Drosophila melanogaster: one gene and its partners. The protein of the gene in region 2 interacts with the protein of the main gene of each other region in a pairwise test. Each region holds a gene or a part of one and is shown on either strand. Other genes may lie near its edges. The genes, in order: CG13965, AP-1mu, CG8507 and Ravus.

Region 1 (6,879 bases), on a different chromosome or scaffold from region 2:
GGAGATCGTTGGCTACGGCTGGAACGGCACCGCCTGCTACGCGGATCGCGTGGACTACCCTCTGCCCGCCGTGCGCTTCCGTGAGCCCACCAACGAGATCAACGCTCTGCGCGCCAAGGAGCAGGGAGACTGGAAGAAGCTCAGCACCCAGGAGATCAAGGCCCTGTACCGCGCCAGCTTCTGCCAGACTATCGCCGAGGTCCAGGCTGGATCCGGGGAGTGGAAGCTCCACCTGGGCGTTTCACTCCTCTTCTGCGCCGCCGCCATCTGGGTGGCCGTACTGATGAACATCTTCGGTAAGCCATTTTTCCGGTTCCCTTTTGCGGCTATCCATTATTGAGCATTTTCCTTTCAGTGTACGATGAGCTGCCCGTTACCTTCGATGAGGAGCACCAGAAGGCGCAGCTGCAGCGCATCATCGACCTGGAAATCAACCCCGTCACCGGATTGACCTCCAAGTGGGACTACGAGAACAAGAAGTGGAAGAACTAAGTGCGCTGTCGTTAAATAATTCCGCGATTGTGTGTGATTAAGTTAGCCGACGTCTATGTGTATTAAGTAAAAGCAAGATAGTCGAAATTAAAGTTATGGCTGCTGCCTAAATCAATCGATCTTGGGTCAGTCATCAGTTTCTGCTAGGAAACCAGCCTCAATGATCCGTTTTAAGAGCAATGATTGTTATTCGATTTATTAACAGACCTTTTAGTGTGTAGATTACAAACTTTTCGTTACTAAAATCGCCACAGGCATAGCCAATTTAATTACCACTTAGTGAGACCTTTTAGCACTCTTATGTCTCATGTTCCGGCTGTTCGATTTTTGAACCTCATGAACAAGGATCTGCAAGGCTTCCAAGGCATTTGTGTTCTTGGCAAATTCCCTTTCAAACATGCGGCCGAATCTTAAGATCAATGGTTTCAGTTCCGGCGTTATCATTGCTTTCTCTTTTTCGGTCCTAAAAAGGCGGATTTCAAAGGCATTGCCAGACATATAGGCGAACACTACTTACACAGCTCCCTTTTTTATCACCTCTTTCAGGATCTGGACAACCGTTTGAATGTCCCCAAATAATCTGTACTTGTCTTTGGTAGAAATTTCACCGTCAAAGAATAACTTCAGTTCGTTGTCAGTTATATTCTTCTTTCGACCCCATTCCTCCAGCTCTGCCGTCTCTTTTTGGTAGGCGCTCCGAGCTCTGCTGAAAAGAAGTCAGGCATTCCTTGATCTCAGAGCATTCATACTTGATGCAGATGATGCACCTACCTCCAGTTCGAAATATCCCTAGCTGTCTGCTTCATCTTTTTTAAATGTCCTGATCTGTGTTTGAAAGTCTTCTCTTCTTTCTCCTTTGCAACTGTCGCCTTTGGTTCGGCATCTCGGTTAAAGCTATTGAAAGCGAAAGGTTGGTGCCATTCGAAAGTGTATATATCCTTCAGCTCGATCGAATCTGTATCTTACTGTTTGTGCCAATCGTATCCATCGTATGGAGGCCTGTGCAGATTGTGTGCTCGGAGATGACGCTGTCTTTCCATCTGGGTGTGGTTCTGGTTACCTCTGCTGTCCACCTGGAGGAAGAGCAACAGCAGGCAATGGAGGATGAGGATCGCAGCGGGATAGAGCCTTGGTCCCATGGCTGTAGTTTGTGGAGTGACAAATTACTTATACGTTAAATCACAATTAAGTGGGCTGAGATGTATTATGGAACCAATCGATTTCCCATTAGTCACTTATCTCAAAATAGAAAAAAAAACAACATATTTTTAAAAGGGGGTTACTCATTCTAAAGAAAGGGTCAATTTATATTTATAAAATCCATTTCTCCTCATTTGAAATGTATATCGCTTGGATAGCAACAATTAATGCGATTCAATTTATTATTTACACATTCGAACAGTGGAAATGTTCAATTAAGCAGTGATCCATTGATATGATGAACAAGGCTTCCGCTTCCCATTGTCTGGCGAGATCCGAGGCATTATGGCCCTGTGAACGACTTTGCAACGGGCCATAAGTAATCGCGTGCAATCCCAACCTTGTCGGACATCAGATGGAGTTACGTTGTTTATGGTGGTGCCTCACACGTGCTGGCCAGTTTTTCCAGCGCTTTTCCTTCTCGATGTTGTGGTATCCATCGTGGCCCACGACATGTCTGGGCACTACTAGCTCCAGGGACAAAAAGAGGCACTGATGTGAAAATATAATATATACGATAAAAATGTTACTATTTCTTTATCTCTACTTACCAAGCAGAAAAAAATCAACCGCATTGGGAAACAATAGACTGGCGACTAATTCAATTCGTCATCTGTGAAGTTCTTGGTAAAACCACATAGGGTGTTCCCGAATTTCGACGGAATATATTAAAATTATTTAGTTTTTTATTCAATAATCTTCAGAGATTGGTCACAAAACGAAAGGGTATAATGGGATATACATATGAGCTAGGGACGTGGCGTGGTAAAGGCATCGTTCCAGCTTGCCCAATGCTTCTCCGTCTTCAGGCTGTGGAAGCCATCATGTGCTCTAACGTGTCGAGGTCCCTTTATATGGCTTCCTGGCTTCACAAATGGATCTCCTCCATTTTCAGGGTCAGGCGAGCCGTTCGGGTCTGGGTTGTCCGTGCTATTAACCATATCGGTGCTATTTGTTGGTGATTCTGTGACCTCCGACCCCGCTTCTGTGGTCTGAGTTAATTCTCCGATGGAACTGGCTTCTGTAACTGGAGACGTTTCGCCATCTGTTGGGGACGCTGGAGATGATTCAGCCGCAGGGGTTTCCTGAGCCTCGAGCGCGGCTACCAAGAATATAGCGATTCCAATCTAGAACAAAGAAACGTTCGATTATGTGCAATAATGAGGGAATGCCCCATTGGCACTCACCAGCTTCAGTTCAAGTTTCGCCATGCCTATCGTCACACCTGACACATAGTATGTGTACCTATACTGCGTCGAAACCAGAAGCGCCGACTGGGCAAAGCCACCTTTTATAGTCGCTGCGCAGGTGGAATCGATTGGAGCAGTTCTAAATTGATTGCGGGAATCGCTGCCTGGTTCTGCGGGCAGAACTAATTCTCTTAGTGACCAACTGATAGATGGCGATCTTTAATTTGCGAACGCAGTCCGGGAAATTCCGGCAGACGCATCCAACACCTGATGCCAATCGGGTTTTTCGAGAGAGATAGAGAGCTGATTGCTCTGGGGCTGTCTGTAATTGTTGGCTTACCGATTTCCATAATGGTGGGCGATTCTGGAGCTATATAAGTCAGCTATGGCCGGCAGAGAACAATCAGTTTTCGCTTGGCCCTTGCTAGTTGAACTCAGTCGGTTGGGATGTTCATCAAGTTGCTTCTAATTAGCCAGGTTGGTGCCAGATCTTGGCCAGGACAAAATGGCTCGAACTATGATTAACTTAACATACATTTTAATTCTAGCTGCTGGCGCTGAGTTACGCTCAGTTGTCGCTCGACGAGGCTAAAAAGCAAATCGATGCCTCGCTTTACAGCGAAGAGGAGACTACCGATGATACGCATCTGCCGGAGCCCCACCTGCCCCCCCAATATCAGCCTCATCATCCCCACAAGAAGGTGACCACCACCACTCCCGAGCCGGAAACCACAACTCCAAAGCCAGAAACCACCACGAAGCCCGCAATAGAGCAGGAGGGTGAGGCCACCGCTGCTCCCGATGACGGACTGGGTCAACTGGATGATGGCTTGCAACAAAACAATGATGGATCTGCGCTTCCAGAGTCCACCACTCCGGAACCGGAAACCACGACCCCTACGACGACCACCACCACAACGCCAAAGCCCCATAAGCATGAGCCCCACTTTCATCCCCATTCTTATCCGCATCCTCACCCCTATCCCTACCCCATTCAGTATCCCTACCCCCATCCAGGAGTGATATTCTCTGCCGCGGGACCTAAGCTTACTCCTCCATCGACCACACCGCCCACTGCCAAAGATGCGGACAAGGAATCGCCGGAGCTGTCTGGATATCCCTCCTATCCGACCTTCAGATCACCGTACTCGCCCTACCAACCCCAGGTGTTCCCTCAGCCTCGTAACTGGCCCAGCTTCCCAGGATACGGACCTCCCAGTCCCGGTTTCGGATACCCCCACAACCACAATCACGATCACGAAGAAGACTCCGGCGAAGATAAGCCCAAGGACAAGTCTGGTGAAAAGGATAAGGACGAGGATGTGGCTCTGAAGCCACCAGGATTTAGCTACCCGCAGGTCTATTTGATTCCCCGAAGACCAGTGATCTCTGTGCCCAGCTTTCCGCGTCCAGGAGGCGGATATGGTTCGCCCTACGGCTACGGACTCTACTAACACTCTCCGATAAATACTGTGAAAAATCTCCGAGTCCAGATAGTCAATAATATCTTAGTTTTATTTCAATCTTGAAATGTACTTCCTAACACAATAAACAACTTTTAGATTATATTTTCATGAGTTTTTAATATTTGCATATAATATTTAATGCTTTCGATCGTGTAAATCTGAGTACAAGGTTCTTCACTGAATGTGGGACTGCTTGGAGTTTTCTTTCGGTGCATTAAGAACTAGTAAGTAAGTTAAAGGCTCCTAGATTCGGGAAAATGATAATTGATGATTTGCGCATATGAGATTGAGTTATGGGCTTCTGATTTCCCTATCGTGTAATCCCCAGGCTGATAACCCCGGGCCCCGACGCTCTCACCTTGGTGATTTCCAGTCGAACGGGTTGGGATCGTGGTTGCATTTAATTGCAGCGCATTCCACCCAGTCAACTCATAGTTCTGTCGATCGTCGGAAGTTCGAGACGTGAGTGTCAGTCGAGATCTGCGAGATGTTGCCGCTCCAATTCGTTTTGCTGGGCTGTCTGTTCATCGCTCAGGGGGTAACTATTCATCGGTTTGTTCCACAATTTAGGCTTCAATGAGTTCTATATTTTCAGATATGCCACACTCTGCCGGATCCCAAGGTAAGTTTGCTAGCAAACAATTTAGATAGTATCTTCTTTGCAATATTCCATAATCCACAGCTAAGGGTGCCTCGTGAAACTATCAACATTCCCACGCATCTCTTCAAGCCAGTGAGTCCGAAATCGAGCAACAAACCTATTTCTAATAGATCATCCTTAAATGGCGGAAACAGCTCTGCCCTGGCCGAAGCAAATAACGATGTCGAGTTTCTAGAGGTGAGTCTCATCCAATACACTTAATATAAATGGAAATAAATATATATTTATTATCCTTGAAGAGATCTAGCGGTGAAGTGGAGGAGGTGACCGACACCTACGAAGAGGAGGACGTTCCACTCCGACCTATCCCCTTCCAACCTCGACCGTTTTATCCTCAGATCCCTCCCCGATCCAACGGTTTCCCCATTCGTGTAAGTGTTTTTATAAGTAGTTACACATAGTATTACAATCCGATTGACGATTGAACTATTTCAGCAACCCAACTATGACAATGCATTCCAAACCGATTACAATGTGGGTCCCAGAGGCAGCGGCTTCGACAACAGACCTTTTCCCAGTTCCCCGGATTTCCGTGGCAGAGGCATTCGACCAATTCCTGACTCCCCATTCCGCAATCAAAACTTAGGAACCTTTGTATCTCGACCGGTAATCTTGTGCAATCGTTTTCCTAACTAAAAAACTAATACACCTTCTCCAGGTACCTATGCCATCCAGTGGTTCCATTATCCCCCTTATCGCCGGTGGTTCCAGTATTCCGACTGGTAGAAGTGGTCCCCTTGGTTCCGGGGGCTCTTCTAACAACTTTTACCGGAGCGAATCCTATAGCTACACATCGGATGGAAGAGGACCTCCCCAAATCGAGCGGGATGTGTTCGACTCGCGGGATGGATTTGGATCATCTTATCGCAACTTTTAACACCTTTCCTAAGAGAAGCTGATGAATGAAAGTTCCGAGTTCTCAAAAACAACTAGTTAAGGCTGCTAGAGATTATACTGACTTGTCTGTGTGTAATGTAAAGATTCTTGGCATTACAAATAATCAGTTATTTTACTTTCCGCACGGTTTATTTATCAGACTAAATAACAATTGTATTGAATAGAAAGTCAGTAAAACTTTCAAAGCTATTGAAACCTGACAGCTTACAAATCTAAAAAAGGTATATTAAGGTATTCAATACCTTTGTAAAATGAATTCCACATTTCTTACGTCATACCTGCACTAAGTAGTAAACACTTACTAGCGTATTTATTATATGCTCATTGATTGTTAAATCAGCTGCAATATGTAATCAAATTTTAGCTTCCGGCGAGCGTGCTAATACAAAACATGAACTCTGGACTACTGGTTTTGATATTTGCAAGGCAGTTTCTGGAAATAATATATACGTTCGGACTATGTATCTGTAGTTATTTGGTTTAAACTTAAATGTACTTGAAACATGATATGTTTATTCAAATGAAATCAGAGTTGGTTAACTTGTCCAGCTTCTCATAGACATCCTTTTCGTTCTTAAAGTCATTAAACTGCTTGACCATCGCCGCGTTCCTGGCCAACCGACTGTCGGACCATGTGCTCATGTATTTCTCCACCTTCTGCTCTACGATTTTCAGAGTAGTTTCCAAGTTTCTTTCCAGGATCTGCTCCAGGTCCTCAACTCCGTGCTGTATGAATAGCTGAACGACAACCTCGTCAGCTTCCGATTCGAATTCTTTGCTGCCTGCAATCGAAATGATGCTTTCCAGTTCCTCAAGAGCATCCTCCAGTCTGTTCAGCTCGAATGAATCATCGAAGTCCAGGGTGTCCAAGGCCGCGACGAAGTCCTTAAGCTCCCTGAGAATGTGTCCCTTGGAGTTTGGTGGTAAAATGAGTTCGGCCTCGTCGATGACCAATTGAAAGACATGTCGTAGC
Region 2 (7,803 bases):
CTCGCCACTGTCGTGGCAGGCGCGTAGTCGTTCCAGTCGCTTCTCCCAGAACAGCTGTTTCGGCTTCTCCCGAGTGCCATGCTTGGGTTCATTCTTCGCTTTGGCGGGATCCTGTTTATGGTTGCGAATCACCGTCACCGGTTGCTTGAAGATCGAGGCAGTCTGTCGAATGGGAGGCACCAGGGAGACATCAGTGCGCAGGGCTCGGCTGTAAGGGATTAAAGATTGGAAATGTATTAGAGAAACGCCTTCAAAAAGCTAAAACACCGAACAGCACATTAGACAAAGCGTAAAGTAAAGCTTTAGCATGCAGAGATGGTGGAACATAAATCTCAGGTGGCACAGAGCTACAGCGTTTTTGAAGACAACTACGAATTGTTTTGCCAATTGTGTGTTTCTTTGGGTATTTTTTCATTTGATGCTTTTTAATTGCCGCAGGCTGTAGACCTTGCGTCCTGGCAAACAAGACATGACACGCTGACATGCAAGAGTCAAGTGCTCATCCACTTGGCTCTACCTGAGTTCGATCTGTTGCTGCTGGCGATTGGCCGTTGATGGTGAAGCAGATGCTGCTGTCGCTGTTGCTGCTGACGAGGCGGTCGCTGCCGGAGGAGCAGCTCCTGCTGCTCCTGCAGCATTGCCTCCTTGACTCCGGGCGAACTTGCGCTTGAGGGCATTGGCCGCCGATCCGCTGGTGGCCCCATTACCGCCCCCGCTTGCTATAGGCAGCGGCATGGCGCTGCAGCGGTACAGCGAAATGGAGGGCGAGGGCAGGGCGCAGTGCGGCATTTTGCCAGGCTGGAAATCAGGGATTGCAATGTCCTGTGGCTTTCCCTCCGCCCTTTTTCCTGTGGGACTGCTGAACAGACACGGCGGTGGATGGATATTTTTGGTGGGTTAGGTGGTAGTTCGTGTGCGTGTGTATACATAGGCGTATGCGTGTGTGTGGTGTATATGGTGTGTGTGTGTGTGGTTATGCGGATGTAATAACAGAAAGGTAGTGAAAGTGATTATAAACGTTTATCCGATTAAACAGCGTGCAGTGTTCCGATTTTAGGTATATAGTAGTCTATATAGTAATTCTGCTCTTCTTCTTTACCTGTAGTAGAAAACATCCACCTTGTTATTGTTGTTGTTGCTGCTGGCTGTGGCACTGCTGTTGTTGTTGCTGCTGGCGTTGTTATTGGCGCTGCTGCCGGACTTTCGGACCTCGTCGCGCTGCCATCCCTTTGGCAGGACACTGCAGTCGACGCGTTTGCGCTCGATTGTGACGCTCGGGTTCATTTGCATGCTCGCCGAAATAAATAATTAACAATTCCACAAAAGCAGCGTCTGGGCTAGCAGTGTGGCCGTACTGCGGATGGCCACAAATGCCGGATGGCACAATAGTGATGCTAGATTACATTCTCCAATATATTTATGATTTGAATTTAAAGGTACCAATGGGAAAATGAAAATAATTTAAAAGGTATTTATTTAAAAACAGAAACCTTAAGATGTTACACCTTGCACATTTTTCATTTCCTTTAAGCTTAATTCGCTAGTTAATCAGCAGTAGACCAATCTCACCTGGCCACACTGCCCAACACCTGATGTGAACATTTCACAGCACTGGTGGGCCAACTAATAAGAAAAAGAAGCAGCAGAAAAGGCGACGTAAGAAATTCCGGAGTTTTCATTCGCATTTTCCAGTCTACGAAACGGAATATGTAAATCCAGCCCATTGATAGACCTAGCCCACTCATCGCCACCTCGCGACAGTTGCCAACTTCCACGCGCAACGCCTGCCGCGAGCAGTAGAACCATCGAAGCGACCTCCCACTCGATCCAATTGGGAATTTTACACCTGGGACAAGTGGCAGCTGCTGGGAACCAAGAGACATGTCTTCGTCGGCCATTTTCGTTCTGGACGTGAAGGGCAAGGTGCTGATATCGCGGAACTACCGCGGTGACAACATCGACATGGCCGTGATCGACAAATTCATGCCATTGCTGATGGAGCGCGAGGAGGAGGGCCTAATCACTCCGATCCTTCAGACGGCGGAGACTACATTTGCCTACATCAAAACGAACAATCTTTATATCGTATCCACGACGCCGCGCAATAAGAACGTTAATATCGCTCTGGTCTTCGTCTTTCTGCACAAGATCGCGCAGGTCTTTGTGGAATACTTCAAGGAGCTGGAGGAGGAGTCCATTCGGGACAATTTCGTGATCATCTACGAGCTGCTGGATGAATTGCTCGACTTTGGCTACCCGCAGACCACCGACTCGAAAATTCTACAGGAATACATTACGCAGGAGGGTCATAAGCTGGAGCTACAGCCCCGCATCCCGGTGGCCGTGACCAATGCAGTATCCTGGCGGTCCGAGGGCATTAAGTATCGCAAGAACGAGGTGTTCCTGGACGTTATCGAGTCGGTGAATCTTCTCGCAAACGCCAATGGCAATGTGCTGCGCAGCGAGATCGTGGGCGCCATTAAGATGCGCGTCTACTTGTCGGGAATGCCAGAGCTGCGACTGGGTCTCAACGACAAGGTTCTGTTCGAGAGCACGGGCCGCGGCAAGTCAAAGTCCGTAGAGCTGGAGGACGTCAAGTTCCACCAGTGCGTGCGGTTGTCACGCTTCGAGAATGACCGGACAATCTCGTTCATTCCTCCGGACGGCGAGTTCGAACTGATGTCCTATCGTCTGAACACGCATGTGAGTATTTTTATGTACTTAGCACCAAAATGCAAGACTAACTAAACCCCTGTTGACAGGTCAAACCCCTGATTTGGATCGAATCAGTGATCGAGCGGCATGCCCACTCCCGTGTGGAGTACATGATTAAGGCGAAGTCTCAGTTCAAGCGAAGATCGACGGCCAACAACGTGGAAATCGTCATACCAGTGCCCGCCGACGCGGACTCACCCAAGTTCAAGACCACCATTGGAAGCTGCAAGTACGCACCGGAGCAGAACGCAATCATCTGGACGATCAAATCGTTCCCGGGTGGCAAGGAGTATCTAATGCGGGCACATTTCGGTCTGCCGAGCGTGGAAAGCGAGGACAATACGGAGGGCAAGCCGCCAATTCAGGTGCGCTTCGAGATTCCCTACTTTACCACGTCGGGCATCCAGGTGCGCTATCTGAAGATCATCGAGAAGAGCGGCTATCAGGCGCTGCCATGGGTGCGGTACATCACGCAGAACGGCGACTATCAGCTACGCACCAATTGAAAGGGGCAACTCCCGTTCCTGCATCATTCCAGCCAAGCTTCAGCGAGTCATCCTGCAACAGGTAGCTTCATCTCCACCCGCGTTTTTGTCTGCGATGCGTTGCGTTAAGTCAAAAGTATATATTTGTATTCGTATTGTTTCAGTATATGTATATTGTATGTAAATCAAATTTAATAAATTTTAACACCTTTTCATAACACCTGCACCAGAGTGGGTCACTTTGTATGTGCAAATTAAGACCTAGGATGCAACCAAGTTTATCCTCTTCGTTGGTCAGAGAAAACCCAAAAACCCAAAGTGTCTAATTTCACATATCCACCGACCCACCTGTACAGATGAGTCATAACAAACGGGTTGAACCCACAAAAAACTGTTTGCCTATTGCTTAATCATAATAAATGCACTTTCGATCGAGTCTCTCGGTTCGTTTTGATTTCTGATTTGTTAGCATCTTTATGGCACCTATCTGGAATCTATTTCTCAAAGTCCTTCAAGGGATAGTGCTCCTTGTGGGCCTCGATATGTTTTTCCAGCTCGCTACGCTGCTCAATCAAATGATCCGGCATCTCCGCGTAGACGCCTTCGAACATCTCACGCCAGTTGGGCTTGAGTTTCTTCTCGGACACTGCGATCTGCTTCAAAACCTTTTTCCTTATGTCCTTGACATATTCGTTTTCGACAGTCTCGTCAAACCAGCCTTTGTGCACCATGTAGCGCTTAAGCTTGGATATTGGGTGCTCCACCGAGTTCCAAATCTCGATCTCCTCCGCTGGTCGGTAGGCTGTACTATCATCTGAGGTGGAATGGTGACCCACTCGATAGGCCAGTGCCTCGAACACCACCGGCTTGTTCTCCTTGAGGACATACTCCCTGGCAGCCTTCATCGCATTATAGACGGCGAAGACGTCTGTGCCATCCACTCGAATGGTAGTAATTCCATAGCCCATAGGTCCGCGACCGGCGATTCCATCGCCCTTGTACTGTTCATGCGATGGTGTGGATATGGCAAAGCCGTTGTTTCGACTGTGGAGAAAGGTACGTCATGAAGAAACTTATTTGAATGGTATTTTTGATAAGATAAGAAATACATCCAAAATAGGTTATCTTATCAAAATAATATGTATCTTAAAGTTACTCACCAGAAGAGGATAGCCGGACAACCCAAAGTGGCAGCAAAGTTAAAGGCAGCATGTGCATCTCCCTCGGAAGCAGCTCCCTCACCAAAGTAACAGACCACACAGGCATCGTTGTTTGGCCTCAATTTCATGGCGTAGGCGGCACCAACGGCCTGGGGCATTTGGGTGGCTGCCATACAACAGAGAAACTGGATAAGCATTCTCTCATCAAATAAATAAGACTATATTAACTCACAAAGCGGACTGGAGATGGTGACAAAGTTAAGTTCCCTTGAGCCGTAGTGGACGGGCATCTGCTTGCCGCGACCCAAGTCGTCCGTGTTGCCGTAGCACTGATCGATAAACTGGTCGATACGGAAGCCACGCCAAACCAGAACACCCGCTTCACGATACTGCCCGTAGATGAGATCCCGCATCTCCAAGGCGGCGGCACTGCCAATGTGTGAAGCCTCCTCGCCGAAATTGGTCATGTAGAATGAGATTCTGCCCTGTCGCTGGGATTCGTACAGGATTTTGTCCATGGTGTTCAGCAGCACCATATCGCGAAACATTTTCTCCACAACCTCACGGCCCAGCTGGGGATCCTGGGTCTCATCCGCTATATAGCCATCCTGGTCCATCACCCGGTAAATTGGTATTGGCGCATAGTCTTCCGGTTGAATGAGGTTCAATTTGCTGACAAATGGAGCCTTGGCACCGGGGAAATTGGCGTAATCTTCCGATGGCTTTGAGCTGAAGTCCCGCGCAGCTGTCGAGATCGCTCCTTCAATCTGTCATGGGTAAAACCAAACAAATAACAACATACCCCTCTGATCACTCCAAGTACTGACCACTTTCAGGTGTCGTTGGCGCCTCGCCACAGAACCCAATAGGTGCACCGATTTTCGCAGGAATGACATGGTATATAATTTGTGTCTAATCTATTAAATGCAACAGGTAATTTTGAAGATTCAGCTGCGTGTTTCCCAGCTGATTACGCAACACAATACCATATCGATAAGTCTCAATCAATCGATGTTTAAGTGATTGGCTATCGAGATCTCCAAAAAAAATTTCTAATGGATTTTATTAAATTATTATTATTTTCATTTCCATTTTAATTGATTTATCCCGATGTTGAGGCTACATTTTCATATTGAAGGTTATACTACTGTATGTATTTACAATATAGTTTTCTTTATCTGATACATTTTTCTCATTAATAACTTAAAATAAACCCCAAGAATTAATATCCGTTTAATAATAACGATGGCTAACGCAGGATAATATGTTAGCAAGGGTTCGTTTTAAATACGCGCCAAACAAATATCGATAGACGCAGCTACCCATCGTGCGTATACTTAATATTTTCGTTTTCCTTGAGCCACCTTTCGCTTTCGACACCATGGCAGCAGTAGAAGAAGCACAATTCTGGCAAGCGATTGGAATACTGATCAAAAACTATCATGCTTTGAATAAAAAGATATTCGAGGTAGTCATTACCCAAGTGACAAAGCAGCAGAATGGGCGAGTGTGTGAATCCAGTGCGGAGGAGTTGGCGATGTCTCTAAAAGAGGATCCAAGCCAGCGCACGTGCACAGGATTTACGATCGGATTCAAACTGCTGTCCAAGAAACTGGCGGAAAACATCCTAGGCACCGGAATTGTGGGTGAGGATAATCACAATATTACTTACTTCTTAGACAATTCTTATTATATTCCTAATTACAGATTTTGAGAATTGTCTCTATGAGTGCCAATTTGCCAGCGATAGCATTGAAGGCTTTTCCGTGGGCCTCCTTGGAGGAGAGTTTAAACTGAAGTCCAAATCGAACACCAACTGGTTGGAATTTGTGCTCAGACCAAAGCTCTTAAGCTGGTCTCAGTCCAAGCAGGATGAAGCAAAGGTGAAGTCACTAGGTTTGGTTAATGTGGAAAAGTACAATGATCTGTACAAGGAGTTGAAACAGAGGCATTCACAACGCCTGCTGGAACACTGGAAGACCGCACAGGAGTCCACGGATCCGCTCAAGTTCATTTACGAGGATTTGGCTATCGCTGCTTATCTTATAGTTTTGTGGAGTCAAACACAATCGGAGCCCACTGCCTTCGCTGATTTGGGTTGTGGAAACGGTCTGTTAGTTCATGTCCTCAACGCCGAGGGCTACAAAGGGTATGGCTACGATATAAGAAAGCGAAAGCTATGGTCCCTCTATCCACCGGATACCCAAAGGAGCCTCATTGAAAAGGCCGTGGAGCCCAACAGCTTCCGCTTGGATTTTCCGGGTGTGGATTGGTTGATTGGTAACCATTCGGACGAGTTGTCTCCTTGGCTACCGGTTTTGGCTGGTCGTTTGAACATTAACTATTTCCTACTGCCCTGCTGTCCCTTTGAACTGTCGGGAGCCAAGTTTCGCAGGCGGAATACGAAGATAAGTGCCTACCAGGATTTCTTTCAATACGTCACTCAGGTCTCTCATGAATGTGGCTATGAGATCCTACAAGACCGTCTAAAAATACCAAGCACCAAGCGATTGGCTCTGCTGGGAATTAAGAGAAAAGCCTCAAAGGCTATTGAAGATCTGGAGTACTTTGTCCAAGAAGAGCTAAGAAAGTATAAGACCGGAGATGCCAAAATTAAGCTGCGCGAGAAGGAGGAGAGCGTTCGAAATTGCACGCAGGTGGATAAGACCATAATTGATGGTCTAGTGTTTAAGATCTTCAAACTGATTCTGGACTCTAACGAAGATAAATGGTCTGGTCGTCTGCCCATGAGAGAGATTGCCCAGGCTCTCACCAAGGAGGAGCTGAGTGGCATTAAATCCGAGTGCGGCGGCATCAAAACATTGCTGCGCAATAAACACGAAGTTTTCGAATTCTGCGGTGGTGATCTCATAGGAATAAGAACCCCTAAACCAACGGCTACTCTCCCCAAATCCCATTTGACCATCAAGAAACGTAGCTGCTTTTTCAAGCTTCATCATCCGCTGGGATGTCCTCTCGATGATGCTGAGTGCTCGTTTATACACTAAGCTAACTCTCTATGTGTGTGGTATTTGCTCACCTTTATTATTTGGATTATAATATAAAGAAAAGTGCAATAATCGTGTCAATTGTAGAAACTAGGAGTCGATCAGTGTCCTCTAACGAGAGCTGTCACTGCTATTGCTGCGGCGTCGACGACGAATGGGGGAGCGGGAGCGACGCCGTGGTGAACGCCGGTTCCTCATGGGTGACTGACGACGTCCGCCGCCGCCGCCACCACCTCCTCCACGATTGTTGAACCTATTGAACTGGGGTGGGGATCGCCAGCGGTTGTTTTGCGGACGGCGCATCGGTGGCGAAGGACGACGCATGGGCGGCCTCTGTTTTACTAAGACAACCGGGGATACCGTAATCTCCTGGCCATCTATCTGCCCGCCATCCATATGCTTCATGGCCGACTCACAATCCTCGGGTGTGGCATA
Region 3 (7,871 bases), 230 kb from region 2:
CACGATACCACGTACTGCATACATATATACATATATACTAATCCAAACACACCACGGAAACTAACCCTAAGTTTGCACATAATCGCATCTGAAACGTAACGGCATACATATCAAATGTTTACATACTTACATACATACTGCATGATCCATCAGCCATTCCATAACCAGATATCGAAACGAAATCGAACGAAGCTATACACTAATATCTCTAATGAAAGCCAAAGTACCTACTTAAAGACATAGAATCTGTATCTACTACGATATGATAACAAAATATTTACATGGATCCATCAACGTAAGACTTCTCCGTGATCGCCACATAGAGAGCATCGCGAGGCAACCGGAAACGGAAGTGGCCGCAATTGGCCGAAAATGGCCGATGCCTCCCCCTGACTATCATTGCTGTTTAACTATTTACCACCTAACCAGAATAATACCGATTCGGACGATTCGCCCCGATCGCCATATAAGCTAATGTATAAAATACTCAAGGCCAACAACACCGACAGCCCACAGTCCGTAAAACAGATGAAAGAAGAAATTCGCAATGGCATTGTGTTTTTTGTATTATATTAAATATGTATGTACAATTTTACACTTATTTGCTGAACTTTATTGAGCAGCTTGAACTTTCTCAGTAGTAGCCAGATCGATCAGTCAGAGAGTTAGCCTAAGTCAGAATCACGTTTAAGTACAATTGCATTCGCATTCATCGTGTGAGCCAAGTAACGCGTACATCGAAGGATATTTGAAGAGCATATGGTGCACTTTTTGCAGTAGCGTAGATGGGATATAAGTTGCCTGTTTTTAAAACACCTACCTATCTATCTATATGTATGTATGGATGGATGTATCGTACGTACGTATAACATAACACAGACCGTTCCCAATTGTGGTATTCGTTATTTAAATAGTTAGTTGGCTTGTGCGTAGAGTCGTAGGCGTAGGAGTTGAACAAATTGTTTCGCATAGTTTGCTGTTGTTTGATATTAAGAGGATAAGTTTTTTTAAATTTTACCAATCGGACTAAGTGAATGATATGCTTTAAACGCTGCTATACCAATTAGCCAAATAGAGGGGCATGTAATTACATTAATTATGATGTTGCTCATCAAACTGGTAACTTTGGCTGCTGGTCCGCCGTCCAGCAGTGCCGGACAAATAAAAGTAGAACAGCCGCCAACACAAATCAGATGGGGGGACATTACCCACTAGATCTTAACAAAAACAAAATAAATTGTTGAATTCGAGTAGAGAAATTATTAATCAAGATTATGATAGCGGACCAATTTGCGTATAAGATTTGTGAAATCAATTTAGATAAATTATCTTGGTTTGCCATAGACCTGGACGATTACGACGATATGCCAGCCTTAGTTGAGAATTCTAGTTAGCCTGCCTGTGCTTTGGGTTCTGCTTGGTGTTTTACTAGGTTTAGGTACGTTTAATTGTGAACAGCAAACTGGGTTTTGACTATTCAGTATGTGCCGTATATTGGATAACATTCTCTGCATACAGTACACTTCACTAATGCGTAAAGTTACTTAGTTGCATACGAATTATAATAACAATGAATTGTAATCAAAACATAATACATTTTAGGTGCATGATTTAAAATACAACGAATAAATATATTTACACCGAAATTCTTTTCTAATTTTTTCTTACAAGTATATACACACACTATATAGATCTATATACATAGATATATAAATATATTAGTTGTATACATATTAAATTAGATTTTACAAGATTCGAAAACCGAATATTTAATTATCGCTTACATTCAATTAATACGCAACTCACAAATGAGCGCCCACTGCTAATAATATTATTATTAATAATCGCCTGAGCGCCAAGTTGTAAATATAAATGATCAACAAGTTACATATAAAAATTATATCCGATTTTTTGAAGGGCCGGCATCATAATAATAACAAGCAAAATATAAACAGTTTCGTGGCCTACTTAAAAGATCTTATTGTTGAAGATTTATCTTAATAACACTTATCGCGCAAATGAGATTAAGTACATGCAAAATAATTTAAATAAAAATTTAACTATGACAAATCAAAAAATGAAAAAATTGAATTATTTGCCGACCATAAATGGTCTCTAATAAACTGGGTAAAAATCTCGGACATTACACTTAAATTACAAATTGTTTGTTTGCGGCCGCTACACATTATCAATGTTATTATCCTCGTGATCGTCGACCAGCGTGAATCCTTCATCTTCAGCTACACAGCTTTTGCTCTTGCTTTTGCTGCTGGAATCGCTTTCATCTAAATTTTCTTTTTTCGATGGTGTGGTGGGAGCTTCCTGCTTTTCCTCTAGCTCTTGGACGCCCGAAACGTCTGGAATTCGCTGTAGCGACTCCTTTGGAACATTTCTCACGTTAATTACATTTAGCAGCATCTTTAAGTTGTCGCCCGATATGGAGTCGCCTTCGGGCGCCCGTGCATTAATGGACTGGTGAATCGTTGGTGTCCCTTGTGGCGCTGGCTTGTGTAAAAGTGACGCCCATGCTCGGGGGCTTAAAATGTATTTAAAGCACAGCTTTATGGTGTAACCCACTAAAAACACCAAAAGGACTGGTGCAAGGAGGTTATACGGGAAGGATAATCCGGCTATGGGTAAATATGGTAATTAAGTGGTAAGTGGTAATTATTGACTGTGCGAATTCTTGGTTAAATACTTACAGGACAGTTTAGTCATAGTTACCGACACCTTTTCTATCATGATTTCCAACTGCTTGATAAATATGTTATTCATGTACATAAAGAACACTTGATCTGGCATGCAAATGGAAATGCTGATTTTTGCGGATTTTCTGAATGGAAACGATCATCAATCGACTTATTTAATTATATGTTATGGTCTTACTTGATCATTTCTATCTTCTTAGTTTTTGGTGAGGCTTGGTATATGTAGCCTAACAGTCGACCAAACCAGGACGATTCAGGCTCATGGTGATGATTTACGACCTCTATCATCCTATCGATGTCTAATTCCTAATTATAAACATATAATGAGCACAATTTCACACACTTTCAGGCTAGACCTACTCTGTTGCATTCTAAATAAGTCTGAATATATCCGCACAGAAACACGCCTCCTAGTACAATTGAAATTAGTCCGACACGGAAACGTTTGTGCACAATGACGACAAGTGCAATTGCTAATGTTGCATATAGGATAAATTTCACCTAGGAATGAGAAAACCCATTAAATAGCAAATAGTCAAGTTTCCATAAAAAGGCGCAACAGGTACCTCGGTCGTTTGCGTCAGTTCAATTACATCCTTGAAAATATCCACCAATAAGGAGAAAAAGCCGTGTCGGACGTATGAGCATCCGGATCTTCCATTAAACAAAGGAGCCTCCTCGGCACTCTCCAATATCTTAGTCAGCAAAACGTCCAAATCCCGAGCATCCTGCACCCTCTCCAGTTCATCCAGTTGCGATGGGATCAGGGAGAAGAGCAGCGATCGCTTATGGACCGCCGACATAACATCGTACTAATTACACAAAAGTTACACACATATGACGTCATGTCGCCAACTTTGGTCTAAACAGCGATCATACCTGAAAACGCTTGCGCTGGAACAGCAGATTGACGAACTTCTTGAAGTATGTGAGTGCCACGGCATCCTCCATGGCCACTGGAGACACATCTGGACACGTAGGACACTGGCACAATTCACCGGGCTGATTGATATCGTTAACCAGGTCCGACCAGGCGGGATCCGGACTCAGCCAGGACTCATCGTTGCCGCTCTGACAGCATACCCTGTGCAATACCAACAGGAAACAACTGACCGCTGCCTCCGTTCTCATTGTCCTGGTTTCTCAATGTAATCACTCCTAGGTAGTAAGCACTCGATAATAATTATAATTCAGCGCAATTTCGTGGTAAGGCGGCTGATGCAAATTGGCAGTGTGACCAAGTCCAGTTAGCAACATCACAGCGTCACGTCAGTGCTGCAATATCTACTTATCACTTCAGGAAAATGTAGCTTTATATTTATTAGACAAACATGCTTTTATGATTTTTCTTCACTTCTACTGCAAATTGAATTATTTTTATTAAACATCTTTATCAAATAAATCAAACAAATTGTTGTAAATTGACCAAGATCAAAAATCGTAACTGCGAAAAACAAAGCATTAAAATAAAATAAAAGCTAGACTGTCAGCACCAAAGCTTTATGCGATCGCTAGATGGCCACACTGCGTGTTGTGAATAACTGTTTAGCCAGGTCAGCACTGCACCAATAATTGCAAGCTTTAAAACCGAAATAAAAACCACGAGGAAAATGGTTAGGTCAGCTCTCGTTGTTGCAGCCATCGCACTTTCCGTACTTATTGCACTGCAGGGCGTGGATGCCGACAAAAAGCAGAGCAAGAAGTACAGCAAGGAGGCCAACGACCCGCATTTTCAGCAAGTAAAGCAGGAGAAGTATGATCCGGATTTTAAGAGCATCCAGCGGCCATTTCGCATGGCCAAGTTGAATCTCGTGTGGGCCAAGGCGCAGAATGTAAGTGGACACCATAAGATATCTCATATTTAACCGTACTAACCTCGGTTACAGCGCTTAACAGAGCCCAAGCTCAAGTCACTGTACATGGAACTCAAGATCCACGATAAGGAGGAGATCGCTTGGAAGCAGCTCAACTCGCAGCACAAGGACAAAGACGGGCTGAAGGCCGACGAACTGCGCCGCAAGCTCATTGGCATCATGAGCAGCTACGATCTGCTAGAGCATTTTGACGACACTCAGGATACGGAGAAGCTTAAGCCCTACAAGGTACGTATCTAAATCATCTTTCCTAAGAGCAAGAGTTTCTCTACATCCAAGTTAACTTTAAGAAATTCCACGACGCCGAGGAGCGACACAGAAACAAGAGTCTTTTCAAGGACAAGAAACTCAACCGACTTTGGGAGAAGGCCGAGATTTCCGGATTTACTGCAGAGGAATTGAAATCCTTGAAACAGGAGTTTGACCATCACCAGGATAAAGTGGATGTGTACTACAGCTTGCTGGAAAACATTGGCACCGTAGACACCGACAAGCATGAAAGTGAGTTTGGCTAAAAACAGCACGAAAAGCATCAATTAATTTCATTGATTATTCTCGTTAGATGCTATTAACACGGAAGACTTGGACACCTACAATCTGATTTCGAATGATGTCAATGAGAACGACATCAAAACCCATGCGCAAAACGTGAAGAGTTTCGAGAACGACCTTAACACTCTGCGAGGACATCACACGGGCATCAAGGATCACTACGATAGGCTGGAACGCCTGGTGTCCTCCGGTCCACACAGTCAGGACTTCATTGAACCCAAGGTCCAGGGTCTATGGCGAGTGGCCCAGGCTAGCAATTTTACGGTTAAAGAACTGGAGTCCATTAAAACCGAATTGCATCACTTCGAAAGTCGCCTATTAAAGCTGCGTCACTTGCATGCCGAGCATGCTTTGCAAAAGGAGAAATACAAGGTATATGTTTCTTAATATCAATCAAGTTTGTAAGCCAACTAACAATTATTTATAGGGCGAAAAAGTGAAGGACAAAAGCAGCCGCTTTGAGGAAATGGAGGATCAGCTGAAGAAGCAAACTCGCAAAGTGGAGAAGCTCCAGGAGAACATTGAAAAAACCATCTTCAAGCACACCGAGCTTTAATAATTTGAAAGTGAAACACTGAAAGTGCCAAGCGAATAAATTAGATTTAATTGCAACTGTTTGTGTAACGCACAAAAATATTCATTCTTGCTGCTATTCAGCATAGATATAATTTTGATACCAAATATCATTTGAACATAAATAAAATCTCAAGTTTAATTTTGAACTATATACAATCTATTTTGACCTTTAAAAAATTCAATGTGGAAAAAATAAATTTGTAATATATTCAAAGTACAATATAGGGTTAAGAATAAACCGTTAAAAAAAACGATAAAATTAGTGTGACCATATGATAGCAGGCACAAAACGCGTATTTCCCTCCACCCAGTAGGACCGCACCTAGTATGACCGCATGCCAGTCGCATTATTGTTGTTGTCGTTTCGTTTGGTGGGCCAAAAAACAAGAAAATATTAGCTAAGCGAAAAGTTTAAAAAGTTAATATATATATGTGCAGCGGTCGGTGCCAGCGCTTTATGGGTACATAGTGCATATGTACACACACCGACATGGGCATGGTGGAGGCGTCGACGTCGGAACTGCACCTGGAGGCCCCAAATTCGTACACGTACCTCCTGGCGACCGTCAGCCTGACGCTCACTTTCATCGTTATGCTGGGCGCTTGTCTCTGCTGCAAGAAGCGGATCCCTAAGTAAGTCCTCCCCAATACCCAGAGGATCAGAGGATCCACATCGTTTCGATGGCTCTAGCGGGAACAGGGCGGTGCAGGCCAGAGAGAGAGTGAAAGTGGGTCTCTTTCTCCAACACTACGCCGCCCAGTTCCAGTTGGATGCACTCATGTCGCTCGCCAATCTCTCTATACCCTCTAACTCCACAGAAATGACTTGATGGGCCTGGAGGGCATGGTCAAGCTGAAGAATCCGGATGAGGTCATTGTGGTGACCAATCTGGTGGGCAACAGCGAGTCCCAGGCGGAGCTGAATGCCTCCACGGTGTCCAATGCGGACTCGGAAAAGCGGTAAGTCCCCATTTCTTTGCTGTCTACATAACTGAGCTGGAAATAACGCATCCTTAACCAATTTCCAGGTCGAGCACTGCAGCCCATCGCAGTTTGCCTGACATTCCCGTGGCCGAGAGCAATGATAATGGGTCCGAACTATATGAAACTGTGGCGGACAAGCAAATGGTAGATGGTCGCAATGCCCGTAGCCAAAGTCGTAAGTTGTATTTTAAACCCATAAAATAAGCTCATACTTAATACCGATTTTAATAACACCCACAGCACAGCCAAGCATGAAGAAACAGACCAGCGTGTCGCAGCACAGCTCTATTAGCCAGGCGGATGATGTAAGTTCGCCGTACTCTCGGGTCAAGGGTCTGCCGCACGACTACGCCAAGGTGCGGGGCACCGAACATCCCTATGCCCAGCTGAATGCCCCATCCACGTCTCATGCGGCCAACCACGGCTCTACAGCAGCAGCTGCGGCGGCGGCGGTGGTGGCCGGATCCTCCAGCGAAGGTATAGATCCAATGCACCGCAGTTCACAGCACAGCGAAGGCTCCAGAGAGCACAATGATTCAGCGCCGGCGCAGGCTGAGATTCCAGCTGCCTCTGCGATTGCAGGCATGATTTCGGCTAGCCAAGATCTTCCCTACATGACGCCGCCCATCGCCAATCCACATTTTAGCGGGGACTCACAAGACTCGTCGAGTAAGTCTGTAAAAATGGAGATAATGTCAAATCGCTAAATGTTTTATTCCACAGAGGGATACACAAGCATTAGTGTGAGGGAGCCGCTGGCCAACATTTTGGCCCAACAGCCACCTGGGAAGCCCTCGAACAGGAACCCTACATTATCGCGTGATGTTAATGACTCTCACTACGCCACTGTGTCCGATGATTCTGGTGAGTCACAAGAGAAACACCACTTCTCTCCAGGGCAATTTCAATGTTATACGTATCTTGAGTTTAATAATATACAAAATTTAATACATATATTTAGTAATACATTTAGTTAGTAATTTAATTCTTTTATTTAAGATGAAACGTATGCGGCCATTGAGGATCCCAATAACCGTCATCATGCCAACGCCGCGGATATATACACTAGCGGATCGGAGACGTACGCGCAAATCCAGCCTATGCAGGCCAATCCCATAGTGGTGGCTGTCGAGATCAATAACAGCAGCAGTCTTCCGACCGCCAGTACATCCGCCGT
Region 4 (7,537 bases), 3.7 Mb from region 2:
TGCCATAGCCGCTTTCTGTCTAGCCTCGGCGCTGGCCAAAGCCGAAGCTGTGGCCACAACAGTGGATATTTCACCTGAGTTTTTGTTCGATGTTTTCAAAGGGTTGCCACCATTGCGCTTTCGATCAATGCGGAGGCGTATGTGTCGGGAAGTCCTCTGGTGCTTGGAGGCCCACTTGGATGAGGGCAGGTAGAGAGACACTTCGCACAGCTTGCACCAAGCATAGTTTCCACGCTGCTCGTTCTTTTTGTAGGAGAGCCACGGGAAGCGGCCCTTCCACACCATAACCTTGCCCTTCATGGTTGCCGGAATGGGCTTGACAAAAAGCTTATTGTCCGCTCGAGCAGTCTTTCTTGCCTGCACGGTGCCCAAGTCGAAGTTGCTTTGGGAATCTTCTTCTGCGTCCTCCTCTTCTTCTCCATATTCCTCGTCCTGTTCCTGTGATTCTTCATCATCCTGCGCATTATGTTTAGTTTGCGTGTTTGTGCCCTGGTGCAGTTTCGCTTGCCGCATTTTGAACTGCTTTACCAGCTTTACATGCCGGGCACTCAACTCATGCCGCGCCTTTGCCGCTTCGTTGTGAAAGCGCACGCGGCAGAATTTGCAAATCTGAGTCTTTCGGTCCTTGGAGTAGCAAAGCCACGGGTAAAAACGTACCCCAGCGCGAACCGTGGCCTTTCTTGGCTCGCTAGAGGACTTATGAGCAAAACTATACGAAATTATTATTATTAAAGTAAAAATTAAAAATATTTTAAGCAACATACCCTTTTCCGAGTTTTTGGATCTCGGACCAATTGTCATCGTCATTATCTTCGCTGTCATCGGTCTGCGATGACTGGGCTTGATCACTTGCCGCCGCTTCCTCTTCATCCATGTTATCGCCGCCTCTGCCGTCAGCCGAACCAACTTCGATGCCTGCCTTGGCGCTGGCCAAAGCCAAGGTATGCTTCTCGGATTTTTCGTGATTCTTGCGCTTGATCTCTGAGTTTCCATACATGAATCGCTTGCGACAGACGCTGCAGTACCCAATGCTGGGGTCTTCGGGATCAGCAATCAACCAAGGATGCATGTCGGCGAACACGGCCCAAATGCCGCGAATATCTGAAGAGCTGAGGTAAAAAAGTGAAAGCAGTTAAAGAACAGGTGCTATTTACGTTCTGTAGGAGTGTCAACTCACCCCTTTTCAGCGGGTGTCGATAGCATGTGACAATGAGCTCTGGTTTTACAGTGCCGTAGGAAGCTGGTAATCGCCATTGTGCAGTTGCAGAGCGTACATCGGCATTGCTGTGGATTGGTGTCCGGAATCAGTGCACACCACTTGCCAGGGTCGTCGCCTGAGTCCACATCGCCGTTCATCATAACCACAGGGGTGTCCTGAGCATCCTCCGGCCCAACTTCTGGTTCAGATTCCTTCTCTCGCTCGGCCTCATCCCCGCCGCTATTGGTCACGCTGTTGCTCTTGCTCCTCTTTCGCTTCCGACTCCGCTTATCGGAATCTAGGTTGCGCAGTGCCTCCATGTGACCTTTGGTGGTTTCGTGGCGCTTGCGCAAATAGACAAACTCCACGTTCATTCGCACGCTGCAGATGCGACATGTCCCGATGGTCCCTGTGGGCATGGAACGTTCAAGCCAAGGATGCCAACGGAGCCAACGCAGCCAGTTGAAGTTGTTAAATGCCTCGGTCTCGGAGATTCGTTTTTGCTTCATGGCGGCCACATAGCTCTTGGTGCCGAATTCGTGCTTGATTTCGTTGTCGCTGATTCTACGGATAATTGGGAGTTAATAAGTGTTCGCAAACTTTCGGTGATCTCAATATGATTTCGGTATTTCGTTTTTTAAAGGTGCAAATCTTACTAACATTACGAGTAGAGCTACCCTCATTGAAAGCAGGGAGTGTAATATATGTAAAATCTATTCTGAACCGCGACCAAGCCTATCATACACCAGTTTCTTTGTGTCAAACAATTGCTACACGTTGGAAAATTAATGCGGACTCGGAGCAGTGCTCCCTTCATTAAGTTGGCAGTTTTTTTCACACTACAGTGGGCTTTCTGGATTTCGGTACAAACCCTTTACAAAGTGAAAGGCATTTGAAGAGTTGAGCTTTTACTTTATACGGCGGATTAATTAACTTGATTTCTCCGAATTTTAGATTTCTGTACTCTTTTTTGTAATCTTTAAAACTGTGACACTTACGCTCCTCGAGTTTCCTCCTCACTTTTCTTGAATGCCAGATAGTTGCACTCGCGTTCCTGGTGGGAGAGCGACACGTTGTGCTGTTGGATGTGTCTAGAGCGGTTGTTCACGTTAATGGATATGTTGCAGTAAAGGCAGAACGCTAAGGTGCCATCGGAGTCCTCGTGTAGGATCCAGGGCCAACGCTTCATCCAGAGGAGCCAGCGCTGTGCGCGGGGCATCTTGCGGCGCATGCCTCCGTCAACGCCACCGCCATTGCTGCTTTCGTCATCCTCGTCGTCGTCATCCTGGCTGTCTCCCGGATCATGGATTTCAATCCTCTCCAGCAGGCCCATGGGATCGTGGTACGAATGGGAGCTCTCCGCATCGCTGGAGGGTTCAGTTTTAGTGGACATGGCATCGGGTTCACGTTCCTGGTCTTCCAGGAGGGGATCCTCGCTGGCCTGTTTGTCGTCTGGGTTATTTAGAGCGGACTGTAGCTCGGCCACCAATGGAGCATGTTCGTCATCCATGATGTCCTCAATACACGGGTCATCCCGCATCGGGTGCTTGTCCTCCTCCACCACCATGGCCACATCCCCATCGTCATCATCCACCACGATGACCATGGAGGTCTCCACTTCCTCGATGTGATCCGGATCCACCAGAGCACCACCCTCTACGTCCATAATTTTCAGCTCGTGCGTTGCCGACGCTAAAGTTTCTGAATTTGCAGACGCCATTTTGAGGTCTGGGTTGCATTGAGCATCTAGGTTTTTCGCCTGCATGCTCGAATCCCGATCCATCACGAGATACTGGTTATCCAGGCACTTTGCTCTAATATTTGTTAGCTTTTGGGAGATCACAGTATACGGTTATAAACTAAAAAAATAAAAATAATCGCAAGCGAAAACTCAGAATCGCTGTCAAGGCGATGGCCAATGTGACCGTACTGTTGCATTAAACCGGCGGGCTAAGGACCATATACTAAGGAAGTTCAAAAAATACATAAAATGCAACTGAGGGACTGGACTGGTCACTTTATTGAGAACGGTCTTAAAACGTACTGTTCATAGTATAACTGCAATTATTTATTTAATAACTACATGAACATTATGCTTAGAAAGCATATAAAGAAATTACATGCATTAGCATATGATTCATATATCGTTGAATATTTAAAATAAAGTGTGTAGAAACAAACAACCGGTGTGGGTGACAACTCTTACAGCATGTGCAAAACGGGTTATGCGGTATTTCTATGCATGTGCGCACGGTCATACCTCACTGGATTTTGTTTATATTTTGGAAAAGACTACCCAAATGTCAAACCTCCAGTTAACTCAGGAAAAACTGTGAGTATACCAAAGTAAGAGACCAGGGTCTTATGTTCACTGACTATATTCGCCGCCCAGAGATGCCCTACGCTCCGAATACAGGCCACGCCGGCCGTGCGCCCTGCTGAAATATCCTCGACCCAAGACAAAGCCGGAGTACCAGGCGATATATCCGTGGTTGCTCCCGGATGAGACGGATCCGCACTTCGTGTTCTGCGCGGTGTGCGAGTGCAGGCTCAGCTGCAAGAGATCTGATCTGGGAAAGCACGAGGGTAGCATTAAGCACTCGGAAAATGCACAAAGAAAATCATTGCCAGCCAAGGCAAACAATTCGAGCTTCAATGGATCCAGCTCCGGTGCGATGAAGTGGGAGGATACCGAGGACGAGGAGGGTCTACTACAATACGGAACAGATCCCCAAGACGACGAGACAGAAGATGAGGAGGAGGGAGAACTTGACGAAACAGAGGGCGACTGCGAGGACGATGAGAAGCGGACTCAAGAACTGGAAGCACAAAATGATCTCGAAACGGAGCCCGTCATTAAGCAGCAGCGCCGCACTTCGGAGACCGACTCACAGAATTCTGGCATGCTGGATTATCTGCCACTACACGTGACCATCAACGAGGGGCCTCAAAGTCTTCCGACCACTGTCTCCGCCTATCCCACATCCTCAGCAACAGCAACAGTAGCTCCGCCATGCAGGATCACCATTAAAAAAGTTCCAGTGCACAGTACTCCACTCAGTGGGATGTGCCAAGCTCAGGAGATCAATTCCAAGGCCACCATAACGCCTATACACACGACGCCCTCCTATGCTGCCCGCCCGCTGCAATCTTATCAACTGCAACCATTGTCACCTATAACGCCACCGCGCGACTCATTGGAGCTGTTCTTCGACAGCATATGTGCCACCGTCAAGAACTTGCCGCCCAAACTGGCCACCGAGGGTAAGATCCGGGTAATGCAGCTCATTGGGGAGCTCGAGTTGCGTGCTCTTTGCGAACAGGAGGCGCTCTCTGAGGTCGCCGGACTTCCGGATCTCGCGGGAAACTCCAGGTCTGGAGCAGCTGAAGCCTCAGGCAGTGGTCAGCAGAATGCGACAGTGGCTTCTACCACCAAATAAATTCACCTGGACTTTGGAATCGGTTCCAAACCGTGCTCAATACGGCAATTAGAATATATGCTAGTGCTTTCATTTTTTAATTTTGTTAACTGATTTTCATTAATAAAGTTATTTATTAGTTGTTGTAGTGTGGCGTGCATTTATTCTTTAAATCTATCTGATGGTGTTTTTGTTCTATGAAATGGCTTCATTACATTTCATCCGTTTAGAAATTTAAGTGCCCAATAAATGGGCTCATTAAGGTATTAGGTTCGCTTTAATATTTCACTAACTGCATTTCAAAAAGTGTTTTCCTGACCTTGGTTTGCCAGCAAAGTATAAATTGTGAATTTTCTCAGAGAATGATATCACGGAAGAGCTGTAATCAATGGAAACCACTTCTTGTGTGTGGGTAACAATTGTGATTTACTTATTGTGAATGATACAAAGCGAATTCTCTGAAGGGTAAATATTACGCATGTACAATACCATGTGATAAAAAGTTTATCGCATGATAGTTTAATGTATGTTCTGTAGGTAAAGATAGTAAAAATCACTCCATCAGGCGAATTTATCAACTGTAACGAACAAACAACATGTAATATCAGATTGAATCAATCAGAATCAATCAATTGAAAAAATGCCAGTAATTATAAATATAAGTTAATAAATCTTTATTTGTAAAATTGTAAAAAATGATTGAAAACAAGAGTTATCAGTAAGGCACTTAGTTAATTGATATTGGGGAAATATCCCCCTTAAAAAGCTTGCTTGCCCTCTAACATGGCTTTCCCGCAGTAGAACGGGAACTGGACTCCCTGGAGCAGAATGTCCGATATGCCCTGCGAAAGTAAGAAAACAAATCGGTTAGCAATGTTTTTCCAGGCAATGGGTGTGGGTGGGTCTACATATCGGGGCCAGCTATCGCGGTTTCCCATAAGCTCCGGTTGTGGGTCTGATAAGTTCCCCAAATGACTAATGGGTTAAACATCTTGACGGCGCGATAAGGAAAGTGCCTCATGCAACCAGCAGGTGAAGCAGGTAAATTGACTCACCCCGCCATATAACTTCAAATGCTGCTCCCCAAAATAGAAAAAAAACCCACTTACCGTCAGGGCGGGAATGCAGGAGGCAAATGCGTAGACCCAGATGTAGAAAAAGGCGCAGAAGAATGCCACGAAGAAGGAGACGAACCAGAAGACCAGCAGCCAGAAGACGAACCACAGTGGATTTGGCATCGTGATGAGTGGTGTTGTTTGTTCAGAGCGATTTCAGCTGTGCGATAAGATAAATACAAGGGATCTTATTAGTGGAAAGATCCATAAAAAACTGAAGCTTATCAGTCGTCTTCTTAATAGAGCATATCTCATTAAAAACTTCAAGACTTGGAGCTTGCTCGAGCATAAAACTAATTTCTGCATTTCGTATATTTTTAATAAGCAAAACACATGTCATTAATTTGATATGCGCCTTAAAAAAGTGACCTCATAATATTTTTAATGAGCTAACAAATTAAATCTTGCATTTCGATAGAACACGATTCTGATAAACCCCACCTAATTAAAAGAGCTTCTAAAACGTCACTTCTATTTCTAAATCATTTTTTCCATCGCTGTATCAACGTTCCCATTTAAGATAGTGAATGTCAAGTTATTCGAGCAAGTAAATCCTTCAGTAAACCCCATTTGTGTTTGCATACCACACTCATTTATAAATAGTTTTTAGTCATATGCAATTTCAAATTATATATTATATAAGTAGACCTTGAGTTAGGCCTTTGAAGATTACTGAAGTTTGAATTTTAGTTAATATCTTCCTTCACTATAAAATGATTAAATATTCGGCTTTCTCCTAAAAATACTTTTTCACTTTTTAGAAAATATTATTAAAATATGCATACACTCAGGTTTTACCACCGAAAAATGCATTTGAATGGCTTTCTTCTGCATTTAGATTTCACTTTTGGGTCGTGACAAACATACTAACGACCGATTTGGCTCGGTTTTGAGACTGATTTTAGAAACACTGACGTCAAAACTGATTGTGACCAAAATAAGGCAAAAATAAGGCAGAGTATGAGGTCGAGGCCTCGACCGCCGATTTCGAGCCGAATTCCACGATCAAGTGGTGATTATAGTACTCTCAAAACAAGTGTCGTCATTATGCAAATCACAATGCTAGCGAGCACTGCACTTGACGGGGTGTGTCGTCTTAAGTCATCGCCCATCTTAAGTCATCATAAAAACAATTGCAGATCGCCCACAAACCGGTTGGCGAAATTAGCACACGGTGAAATTCGGATTAATTAGACCAGCCGAATCTGAAGTATGCGCCAATTAATAGGCGTACGCCAACTATGCGTAAGTATTTTATAAATACTGTATACCACGCACCCACGTATTTAAGATCGAAAACAACTTAATAGCCGAATGCCAGGCAGCCAAAGGAAACAATAACAAACCAAGTAGACGATCGGATCGGAGGTCGACGTCCGGGGGATTCGAGAATGGAATGAAGACTGAGAAGCGCAAACCGGCGCAACAAGTTGCATGCCCACTGCAGGCAGGGTTGTCACCCGTCGCACTGCCGACGCGCACTTTCGAAGGAAAGCTTCGCGAAAAAGCTTTTGGCAGCGAGGGCCGATCTGAGAGTTAAGCAAAGTATTTATTGGGTTACTAAGGTTAGTTAAAAGAGAACTCAATCTTTTTAAACCAAATACATAGATAGTCTTTGTGTAAGTAGTATTTGTGTAGACAGTATTTGTGTAGATATTATTTGTGTGAAAAAAATAAACATTTTTTCGAAACAACAGTCAATAACAGTGAACACAAAAGGTACGGAAAATATTAATACAATTTTATTAAACTAATTTTATTACATTTGTCGTTATCATTCGTTTATACTATGCTTCCATCGAAAC

Evidence for each region.
Region 1: the proteins of AP-1mu (region 2) and CG13965 interact in a two-hybrid assay, tested with the Drosophila melanogaster proteins (one large-scale study listed by BioGRID).
Region 3: the proteins of AP-1mu (region 2) and CG8507 interact in a two-hybrid assay, tested with the Drosophila melanogaster proteins (one large-scale study listed by BioGRID).
Region 4: the proteins of AP-1mu (region 2) and Ravus interact in a two-hybrid assay, tested with the Drosophila melanogaster proteins (one large-scale study listed by BioGRID).

The regions. Positions count from the first base shown.
Region 1 is NT_033779.5:19,959,396-19,966,274, forward strand, and holds CG13965 (uncharacterized protein), read right to left. Parts: upstream 2,958-6,879; 5' UTR 2,904-2,957; coding exon 2,880-2,903; intron 2,820-2,879; coding exon 2,442-2,819; 3' UTR 2,363-2,441; downstream 1-2,362. Other genes in the region: COX4 (cytochrome c oxidase subunit 4), read left to right, coding at 1-296, 356-492; CG34051 (uncharacterized protein), read right to left, coding at 769-955, 1,010-1,198, 1,264-1,386, 1,459-1,631; CG42866 (uncharacterized protein), read right to left, coding at 2,044-2,184, 2,244-2,267; CG16772 (uncharacterized protein), read left to right, coding at 3,330-3,359, 3,431-4,336; CG10680 (uncharacterized protein), read left to right, coding at 4,836-4,886, 4,944-4,970, 5,031-5,186, 5,249-5,380, 5,445-5,615, 5,668-5,886; OS9 (Olfactory-specific 9), read right to left, coding at 6,423-6,879.
Region 2 is NT_033777.3:9,553,328-9,561,130, reverse strand, and holds AP-1mu (adaptor protein complex 1, mu subunit), read left to right. Parts: upstream 1-1,605; 5' UTR 1,606-1,881; coding exon 1,882-2,703; intron 2,704-2,762; coding exon 2,763-3,221; 3' UTR 3,222-3,419; downstream 3,420-7,803. Other genes in the region: MBD-like (Methyl-CpG binding domain protein-like), read right to left, coding at 1-208, 518-859, 1,100-1,290; BckdhA (branched chain keto acid dehydrogenase E1 subunit alpha), read right to left, coding at 3,695-4,244, 4,361-4,526, 4,593-5,127, 5,188-5,256; CG9386 (uncharacterized protein), read left to right, coding at 5,742-6,006, 6,068-7,368; RnpS1 (RNA-binding protein S1), read right to left, coding at 7,480-7,803.
Region 3 is NT_033777.3:9,787,252-9,795,122, forward strand, and holds CG8507 (uncharacterized protein), read left to right. Parts: upstream 1-4,231; 5' UTR 4,232-4,318; coding exon 4,319-4,540; intron 4,541-4,594; coding exon 4,595-4,810; intron 4,811-4,872; coding exon 4,873-5,083; intron 5,084-5,144; coding exon 5,145-5,506; intron 5,507-5,561; coding exon 5,562-5,690; 3' UTR 5,691-5,847; downstream 5,848-7,871. Other genes in the region: CG12945 (uncharacterized protein), read right to left, coding at 2,179-2,630, 2,703-2,833, 2,887-3,014, 3,069-3,209, 3,275-3,520, 3,588-3,839; CG8516 (uncharacterized protein), read left to right, coding at 6,201-6,343, 6,530-6,670, 6,739-6,869, 6,935-7,363, 7,418-7,558, 7,694-7,871.
Region 4 is NT_033777.3:13,259,960-13,267,496, reverse strand, and holds Ravus (ravus), read left to right. Parts: upstream 1-3,435; 5' UTR 3,436-3,498; coding exon 3,499-3,530; intron 3,531-3,590; coding exon 3,591-4,638; 3' UTR 4,639-4,764; downstream 4,765-7,537. Other genes in the region: Su(var)3-7 (suppressor of variegation 3-7), read right to left, coding at 1-709, 765-1,109, 1,178-1,762, 2,197-2,981; CG11686 (uncharacterized protein), read right to left, coding at 5,376-5,459, 5,727-5,855.